Arabidopsis thaliana: one gene and its partner. The protein of the gene in region 1 interacts with the protein of each later gene in a pairwise test. Each region holds a gene or a part of one and is shown in the gene's direction. Other genes may lie near its edges.

Region 1 (5,032 bases):
ATGACGAGCCAAGATGTAATAAGATTTAACTGTCCTAAGCAATACAGATTACAATCCAACTAGAGACAAAGTTGAGATCTTTGAGGAAACTATGGTTCATGATCAACTCCTATGTGATGAACTTTCTTTGATCTTGCCTAGGAACCAAATTTAGAGATCATGGTCAAAGATTCATCTGAATATTAAACCAAGTAACAAAAAACAGGCAAAATAAATTATTATGTCAAAAGTGATAAAATAAGGCAAACCTCTGGAACATGGAAGAAAGATAGCAACTCCAAAGAACAAGACATAACCTAAAGATCTTGTAAGAGAGAAGCTAAGAGAAGATTTGTACCTGTTAGAGATTGCCCATAAAAAAAAATAAACCGTAGCTTCCTTCAGATCCTACAAACCTAAAAGAAATCATTATCACAGGCTCACAGCGATCCAAGTTTGCTTATTTGCATCAATTAAAGTTTAAAAAACAAAAAAAACTGTAAAATTAAGAAGTCGAAGAGAAGCTAAATCAATCAATGAATGATTCAGAATCTTAAGAAGAAGAAGATGGGTTTTGATGATAGAAACGCTTTGAAACAATAAAATCCAATAATTTAATTCAAAGATTTTAAATTTAAGGAGAAAGAAGAATAAAAGAAACGGATGGGAAAAAAGAAAGAATGAAATGAATGATGGAAAGGTGAGAAATCAGCAGAGGACAGGACACAGTTGTGAAGGAGTGGGAGGAGTTGGGTGGCAAAGTCGAGATATTAAAAACAAAACAAAAACTTGAAAAATAGACTCGAAAATAATACTAACATTTTTTTTTTGGGAGATGATGATAACAAGAATAGTAATAGTAACCGGTGGCGGTGGTATTGGTTCTGCTGATTTCCCCGTGAGTTGTGCCTTCTCTCTGGTGTGACGCCATTTTACTCTACTTTTCTCCATTTTCCCTCTGTCCTTTTTCTCCTTTTCTATTTTTTTCTTCCTGACCAGTTCAATTCTTCTTCTTCTTTTTTTAAATAAAGAAGAGTTCAAACTTTTAAAATGGGCAACACTAATTTGTTTGCTAATTTACGATAGGGACCCAATGTATGGTCGTCCGGTTTAGTCTTTTTGTTTTTTATTAGACTAAACTAAATTTGAAATCACATGTGGTTTGTTATTTATCTACTTTCGTGTTTGAGTTGATTGGAACTAGTTTTGGTTTTAGTTTTGTTTAGTTTCTTGGCTCATTCTTCTGGTTATCTTGGTATGCTATAATAAAAAAAATACTGGAGTGAGAACCTTCACCATTATGGGTTTGAACTGCCATAACTAAATTTGGAGAATATGATTATTCAGATCGGGTTTGTTTAGAAATCGACATTTCTACTTATATTTGGAAAAGTTATATAGTAGAAAATCAAACAAAATGTCGAATGTTATATTTCTCGTTTCATGATTTTCTATATATCTCATTTGTTTAATTATAAGACAGATTGTTTAGTTCGTTCTTTTCGTTTACTGTTTTCTCAAATTTGTTTTGTAGATTTTTTTTCCATATTCGGCGACCAATCATATAATTATCTTTTAACTAATATGTGGTTAATTAAAAAATAAAAAAATGTCGATTTGGTTCGGACTTAAGATTAGAATTTCGGTTTGGTGGTAACGAAAATTTTAAAAGTCAGAAATCAACCAAACTCCGGTTGGACGGTTCAGCCGCTTCGGTTCGGACTTAAGCCATGCCGCTATTAGAAAAATGGATGTTTTTTTTTCTAGTATTCACACGTGTCCATAAACCCTAATTTTCCAGTTTTATGAAATTGAAGAACGAAATTGAAGTGAAAAGTGAAATCGTGCAATTTTCATCTTCCTCTTCTCCTTAAACCCTGATTTCGGATTCTCACAATCGAACTTGGCTGCAGAGAAGGATGGGGACTAACGAAGTAACAAGGATTGTGACTGATGAAGAAAAGAGAGAAGCGAAGAACTTCAACATATTTGATCTCCCTGACGTTCCTACCGGACTTCCTCCGCATCTTGAGCTCCAGCGAACTCGCGTTGTCTGTAAGAAGGATTCTAATATTCATGTAAGTACTATTCTCGATCAAAATTTACACTCTTTTTAAGCTATGTATAAGTTCAGCTAACTAGAAATTTATTGGCTTTTCTCAGTGTGTCCCATGTGGGTTTGCTATGTTCATCGATTTCGTGTAGATTTACAGAGTAAAGTTTAAAACTTGCTTGTAGAAAGCTGTGAATTTACTGAGTTTGGTCTTAGCAATTTAAGAAGATTACACTGTGGGTTTGTCGAAATCCGAATGATATTGAGTGATGATTGTTTGAAATTTGAAGTCTTTAATGTTCTTCCCTTTCTTTTTGTGTTTTATTGTAGCCTACGGCTATCACTTTCTCGGGTGCCTATTCCTCTATGGGAGTGGACAACAGTGTGAGACTAGAAAACTTCTCTGAGGATTTCAAAGTTGATGTGATTAGTCTCACAGAGACAGATATGGTATTCGATATGATCGGTGTCCATGCAGGAATCGCTAATGCTTTCCGAAGAATCCTCTTAGCTGAGGTCTGCCCACTGTCTCACTACCTCTGATGAATCTCTGATTATTAGAATCTTTGGTTAATAGTGTTTCTTTGATTACAGCTTCCTTCAATGGCTATTGAAAAAGTGTATGTAGCAAACAACACATCGGTTATTCAAGACGAAGTTCTTGCTCACAGGTTGGGTCTTATTCCAATTGCCGCAGATCCGAGACTCTTTGAATATTTATCTGGTAAGAAATATTCTGTGGAATGTGATCCATCTCATTAAGCATATAAACTCTTTGTGTCACGCTTAGTTTTGTTGTTGTTTATCTTTGTGTCATAGAAAACGATCAGCCAAATGAAAAGAACACCATTGTTTTCAAACTCCATGTGAAATGTCTAAAAGGTGACCCGCGTCGTAAAGGTAATATATGTTCTTTGGTTTGCTCAAGAAGAGTCTTTGTTTTATTGTTAGCTCGAGATCTCATGAGAGGTATCATTTTTTTATTTCTTGAAGTCTTAACAAGCGAATTGAAATGGTTACCAAATGGAAGTGAGCTTATCAAAGAATCTGGAGGTTCAACCACAACGCCAAAAACTTACACTTCATTCAACCATAGCCAAGATTCCTTCCCTGAATTTGCTGAAAATCCTATCAGGCCAACCTTAAAAGATATCTTGATAGCAAAACTTGGCCCTGGCCAGGTACTGTTTCTATTTATACTCTTCCCCTTAATTGTGACATTTTTGAGGACTTAATTCCGTTGAGAGATGAAAGACTTGCATCTTCTTCTTGCAGGAAATCGAGCTTGAGGCTCATGCCGTTAAGGGCATTGGTAAAACACATGCAAAGTGGTCCCCAGTAGCAACGGCTTGGTATCGAATGCTTCCTGAGGTGAGAAGTTCACCATAAGCCTTCTGGGAAAAGGACTTAATTAATTTCTTCTTGACTCGTCCTAGGCTTTTCCGGTAATGCTTTTTGTTTATAATATCTTAGGTGGTTCTACTAAAGGAATTCGAGGGTAAACATGCCGAAGAACTCGTAAAAGTCTGCCCCAAGAAAGTTTTTGACATTGAAGACATGGGCCAAGGTGAAGTAAAAGCCTTCCCAAGTTTCCTTCAAATGTCTTTACTTGCTTTTGAGTAACAATAAGAGATTCTGATGAAACCTGAGAACTTTGGCGGCAAATTAATTTGACTTGCAAACGTGGAAAACAGGTAGGAAGAGGGCAACAGTAGCTCGGCCGCGTGATTGTTCGTTGTGTAGAGAATGCATAAGAGATGGAGTGGAATGGGAGGACCAAGTGGATCTGCGCCGTGTCAAGAACCATTTTATATGTAAGAAAAGAAAAAGAAAAACACAGTTCCTTCAACCTGGCAATTCCATGGTACTGAAAGAGATTCTAATTGAGTTTCTTATCATCTTTCGCAGTTACAATTGAGTCCACGGGATCACAGCCTCCGGAGGTTCTTTTCAACGAAGCAGTGAAGATATTGGAAGATAAATGTGAAAGAGTAATCTCTGAACTCTCCTGAAAAGAGATTAAATTGGTTTAGCTCTACCGGCTTGGTTCCGGTTTAGTTCAGTTTTGGGTTTTGTATCGAAGTTAATACAAAGAACATTGAAATTTATATATACTTGGTTTCGGCTCGGTTCAAATTTAGAATATACATGTGAACGTTGAAGAGTAGATGGATGTACGTACGTACACATTCATCAAGCACTGAACAGAGTGAAGAAACAACAGAACAGATCAATTTTTACAACAACGAAACAAACAAACACTAACGACAACACAGATATTCACGAAAGTCTTGTTGTGGCCGATAAATTTGCTGCCATGCTAGAAACCAACCGAACATATTAACCGAAAAAACTGTAAATGACATATAAATAGCCACGAAACTCTATCAGCACATACATTATGCACTGGCCGTCTTTTTTTTAGAATCATCCTTCTCATTATAAATCAAAGAAACACAAATTAATAATTAATCACGTATTCAAACTACAAAAATATAATAACACAGAAAAATATCAAGAAGTTTCAATTACATTGTTTTTGTTTTCTCAAAAAACAATGGCTGCACACAAAAAGAGTCATATCCGCATTTTCTTTGTTTCAGTAATGATTATATTATCATTGTTCAGCGGATTTGGAGAAGGACAAACATATATAAACTATAATGGTATGAAAGGAGACATAATTCCAGGTTGCAGCAGTAAGAATCCCAAAGAATGTGTCAAAATTCCAGCATACTCTTACAATCGTGGTTGTGAAATCTCTACACGTTGTCAACGTCAACAGCATTCGAGTTCGAGTTAATTGATGTATGATATGTTTAAATCATTTTCGAATATGAAGTTTTTTATTATTAAAGTGATATTACTAACTCAAATTTTAATTATGGTAAGGTTCTTTCCATTTTTCTTTGTAACCTGGATTTATTTATTATATGTTTTAATAATTGATTTCTTTACCCCTACGATTAAAGCCCAAGTTAAGTGTATCTTTCCCCCAAA
Region 2 (4,444 bases), on another chromosome or scaffold:
AGCTTTTATAGGTTAATAGTACTACACTAGAGAGTTTGTAAGCTGATATAACTCATTGTACTCTTTGCATTCGATTTAATATGTACAAAAGAAAAGTTCATTGACAAATGATATCCAAATGTTCACCACTCAAAGAGTTTTTTTCTTTTTTCTTTTTTTGTGTCAAGTCAATTCTCCCATTACAGAACATATTGTGTGATCATCTTCCAAACAAAACTGCCAACAACAAGTAACAAATCTACAAGTTCTCTAATCACAACTGCAGTTAACTAGATACATCATGTTCTTCTTCAGCTATCGTTTCACTTTGGTGGTCTGTACCGATAGCAGCACACAATGCTTTCCAAATGGGAACCAACATCTTCAATGGAGGACGCAGTTCCTGTCCAAAGAGGAAATTGAACTCAAAATCAATTGCTATAAGTAATATTCCCGAATTGAATAATTGGTAACTCTAGATTGTTTCTCAAAGTTGTCAGCAGAAGTTTTTCTCTCACAATGTAATGAAACAAACTGGTGCCATTACCTTAAACACCAATGTAAGTTGTTCTTCACCACGAAGAAATAAAGAGAGACTCCAGTAACACGTAATGGGAGTGACACATTCGACCAACACAGGCTTCAAAATCTTGTCAATAGGGATAAACCTGGAGACAGTTTTTCCACTGCAAAGCAGAAGCATGCACAAAAAAGTAGGTACTTGTATGATTGGTAAAACTTAAAAGCATAGATCATAATGGTTCATGATAATTACAACAAATTCAACCATTACCACCTATCTTAGAGACCACTAATACGGAGTAGTTCAAAGCATTAAGCCATCATGGAGTGCAGACAACAGAATACTAACTAAATGGATAAAGCATACCTTAAATATTGAGTTTCAAGTTGGATCCCGAAGGTTGGCAAGATTATCACAGATTCTGAAGAAATCAAAGAAAAGCTAGAATTAGTTAAAACGTGAAGCTGATATCATTTGGTAAGCCTGTAAAGCGTGTATCAGGATGAACCAGGATCTCACCTTTCTTGACGAACTTGCGACTATGTAGCATAACCAAGAAACCACTTAAAAGGCAGCCCCAAGAAAGAGTTCTAGCTGGATTGTCCTGTTTCATGTGAATTATCCCTTTCAACTTAAGTGAAGAAGAAACAAATGGAACAACAACAAAACAAGCTTGTAAAGTAACACAAAAAAAGAAAAGTGCTTTTATACAAACCTTGTCATGTATTAACATAATGCTCACAACAGAATGAAAATATCAAACTATACTCCATCACCAATCCTAAGAAACAAAATGGTATGCCTTTCTCATGATATGTACTAGCAACACTTGTTCTAAGCAATGCATCAGAATCACTCAAATGTCAAGCAGATTCACATCAAAATAACAAACGGCAACAACCAAATTTTCTCTAAGAGCATAATTACCTTTCCAAGCAAAAAGTACATAGAACTCGCCAGAAACACAAGGAAGAAACCAAGCCCCCAACGACGGGCATAACCAGTTCCGCTGCTTCCGTTGATAATCACATGGTGAATATCAATGGCTTCTCTAGTTGACTTACTTCCACTTTCGTGTATGTAAGTGTATCTCTTATTCGAAACAGACAAGCTCACCATTTCAAAGCTAGTTTAGTTGAAAAACAGTCAAATGTATCACCGTCGTTTTACTCCCAACTCATATACGAACCTGCCCAAGGTTAGCTTTCTCAATACCCAAGTAACAATTTTCAAACTTTGAGTCTCAGTCAAATCGGATAGCAACAAAACTTCTCTGCGGCTTTCCGTCGAACACCATGCGTGCGTTATAATAACCCCTCTTGAAATCTCATAAATCTCTCTAACTATCTCCACACAACTTCCTCGAAAACACAGTAGCAATCTATCAAAAAGGACGAAGCAAGGATTCACCCAACGAACGAAAGCCACAATTCTTCGAATTGATCAAATCTGAAACCGGCTTCTCTTACCGGTAAAGAGATAAAAGACGGCACTATGGTGGAGGAGACAACAAAAAGCCAAAAGAGAGAAAATAATACAAACTGTGTGGCGTCCTAAATAAAACACCCTGGCGTTTTTGTTTTATTCATATTAACATCATGCCGTTTTCATCTCGACAATATAAAAACCTAGCTTATTTTTAAGGAAAGGTCAAATCTTAATTAGTTTTGATTTCTCTCTCCAGTACTTCTCGATTCGCCGGCGATCCGAATCTCATTCTTCTGCTTGTCGGAAAAAAAAACCCGTAATTTAAAGTGTGAAGCTTTCGGTTTGAATCATGCGTTGCAAGAGATGCAATGGAAGCAACTTTGAACGCGACGAAGACACGGGGAATTCGTATTGCGGTGGATGTGGGACATTACGAGAGTATGATAATTATGAGGCACAACTTGGCGGCATAAGAGGACCTCAAGGTACATATATACGAGTAGGCACCATTGGTAGAGGCTCTGTTCTTGATTATAAAGACAAGAAGATCTATGAAGCCAACAATTTAATTGAGGAGACAACAGAAAGATTGAATCTTGGTAATAAAACTGAAGTGATTAAGAGTATGATTAGTAAGCTTACTGATGGGGAATTTGGACAAGGTGAGTGGTTCCCTATTTTGATTGGAGCTTGTTGTTATGCTGTGGTAAGAGAAGAAGGGAAAGGTGTTTTGTCTATGGAAGAGGTTGCTTATGAAGTTGGATGTGATTTGCATCAGTTAGGGCCTATGATTAAGCGTGTTGTGGATCATCTAGATTTGGAATTGCGAGAGTTTGATCTTGTGGGTTTGTTTACCAAGACGGTTACTAATTCACCGAGATTGACTGATGTTGATAGGGATAAGAAGGAGAAGATAATAAAGCAAGGGACTTTCCTGATGAATTGTGCGTTGAAATGGTTTTTGTCGACGGGGAGGAGACCAATGCCTTTGGTTGTGGCTGTTTTGGCGTTTGTTGTTCAAGTGAATGGTGTGAAGGTAAAGATTGATGATTTGGCGAAAGATGCTAGTGTTTCGTTGACTACTTGTAAAACGCGGTATAAAGAGTTATCTGAGAAGCTTGTGAAGGTTGCTGAAGAGGTGGGTTTGCCTTGGGCGAAAGATGTTACTGTGAAGAATGTTTTGAAACATTCAGGAACTTTGTTTGCTTTAATGGAAGCCAAGTCCATGAAAAAGAGAAAACAAGGGACTGGGAAAGAATTAGTTAGAACTGATGGATTTTGTGTGGAGGATTTAGTGATGGACTGCCTAAGCAAAGAATCTATGTATTGTTATGATGATGATGCTCGTCAAGATACTATGTCTCGGTATTTTGATGTAGAAGGTGAACGTCAGCTTAGTTTATGTAACTATGATGATAATATATCGGAGAATCAGTTGTCTACAAAGTATAATGAATTTGAGGATCGAGTTTGTGGTGGGACTCTTGCGAAAAGAAGTCAGGGAAGTAGTCAGAGTATGTGGCAAAGGAGATCTGTTTTTGGAATGGTGTCAACTGAAAATTGGTGGAAAGGGAAATCGGAATTGAGTAAAAGGCTTTTGCTCAAAGACTTGTTGGAGAAAGATGTAGGGCTTGAAGCTTTGCCTCCTTCTTACATAAAGGGTTGCGTTGCAGTTGAAAGACGAAGAGAAAAGATTAAGGCAGCTAAGTTGCGGATTAATGCAATACAACATCCTTCTGACAATGTTAGTGAAGGTGCGTTGTCTTTGGAGCTTGAACATAGCAAGAAGAAAAGGAAGAAAGGATCTGAAATTGATTGGGAGGATTTGGTTATACAGACTCTGGTCTTACACAATGTGAATGAGGAAGAAATAGAGAAAGGCCATTACAAAACTTTGTTAGACTTGCATGTTTTCAACTCTGGAGAGGTTTGAATTGAAATGTTTTTCTCTTGGAATTTTTTTATTTCTTACAGTATAATTCATTTAAGGATGTAAAAATCGTTCTGAATGCAGAAATTATCAAAGCAAGCATCACAAGACGATTCAACAATCCATGTAAATGTTTCTCTGAAAATGATTAATAAGATAAACTACTTGTTTCTTTAATAAGCCCTGAAAGAAACAATTTAAGAAAAACAAAAGTCTAATACTGCTTATGACTGACTACCAAATCCATTTCATTGATCTCTCTGATAATTAGAAGTTTCCTCAGCTTGTATTCAATCAGCCTGACATGCCATAATCTTCAACATGATCATAAAGGTTGTAACTTTCCGCCAGTCCCATCTTTCCAACAAGATGCTCATCCCCTACAAACACAAATCACAAGAAATTATCTGAGACAGACACAACTTACTTGACTATTTCTTCAAAGCCAATGTCTCTGTTTTTTTCAGTTACGTGTGAACTAAAAAGGTATCTTTGTTACTTACTTGGGTTTGATAGAACATCTAGCAAGTGAAGGTCTGAGCTAATCTCAGGGCTCTGAAAGCAAAGATCTTCAGGCCTAGGAG

What was found.
Region 2: the proteins of RPAC43 (region 1) and AT4G35540 interact in a two-hybrid assay, tested with the Arabidopsis thaliana proteins (one study listed by BioGRID).

What each region holds. Positions count from the first base shown.
Region 1 is NC_003070.9:22,329,327-22,334,358, forward strand, and holds RPAC43 (RNA polymerase I subunit 43), read left to right. Parts: upstream 1-1,567; 5' UTR 1,568-1,898; coding exon 1,899-2,057; intron 2,058-2,142; exon of another isoform or gene 2,143-2,268; intron 2,269-2,362; coding exon 2,363-2,548; intron 2,549-2,626; coding exon 2,627-2,756; intron 2,757-2,851; coding exon 2,852-2,932; intron 2,933-3,025; coding exon 3,026-3,213; intron 3,214-3,307; coding exon 3,308-3,403; intron 3,404-3,505; coding exon 3,506-3,599; intron 3,600-3,726; coding exon 3,727-3,846; intron 3,847-3,940; coding exon 3,941-4,044; 3' UTR 4,045-4,242; downstream 4,243-5,032. Other genes in the region: RALFL6 (RALF-like 6), read left to right, coding at 4,590-4,835.
Region 2 is NC_003075.7:16,871,660-16,876,103, forward strand, and holds AT4G35540 (POLLEN-EXPRESSED TRANSCRIPTION FACTOR 2), read left to right. Parts: upstream 1-2,175; 5' UTR 2,176-2,279; coding exon 2,280-3,863; 3' UTR 3,864-3,939; downstream 3,940-4,444. Other genes in the region: AT4G35530 (phosphatidylinositolglycan-like protein), read right to left, coding at 266-382, 527-665, 869-923, 1,022-1,106, 1,430-1,621; WOX13 (WUSCHEL related homeobox 13), read right to left, coding at 4,155-4,240, 4,364-4,444. UniProt on the Arabidopsis thaliana protein: Plant-specific TFIIB-related protein that plays important roles in pollen germination and embryogenesis, possibly by regulating gene expression through interaction with TBP2 and the subunits of RNA polymerases. Binds double-stranded DNA in vitro.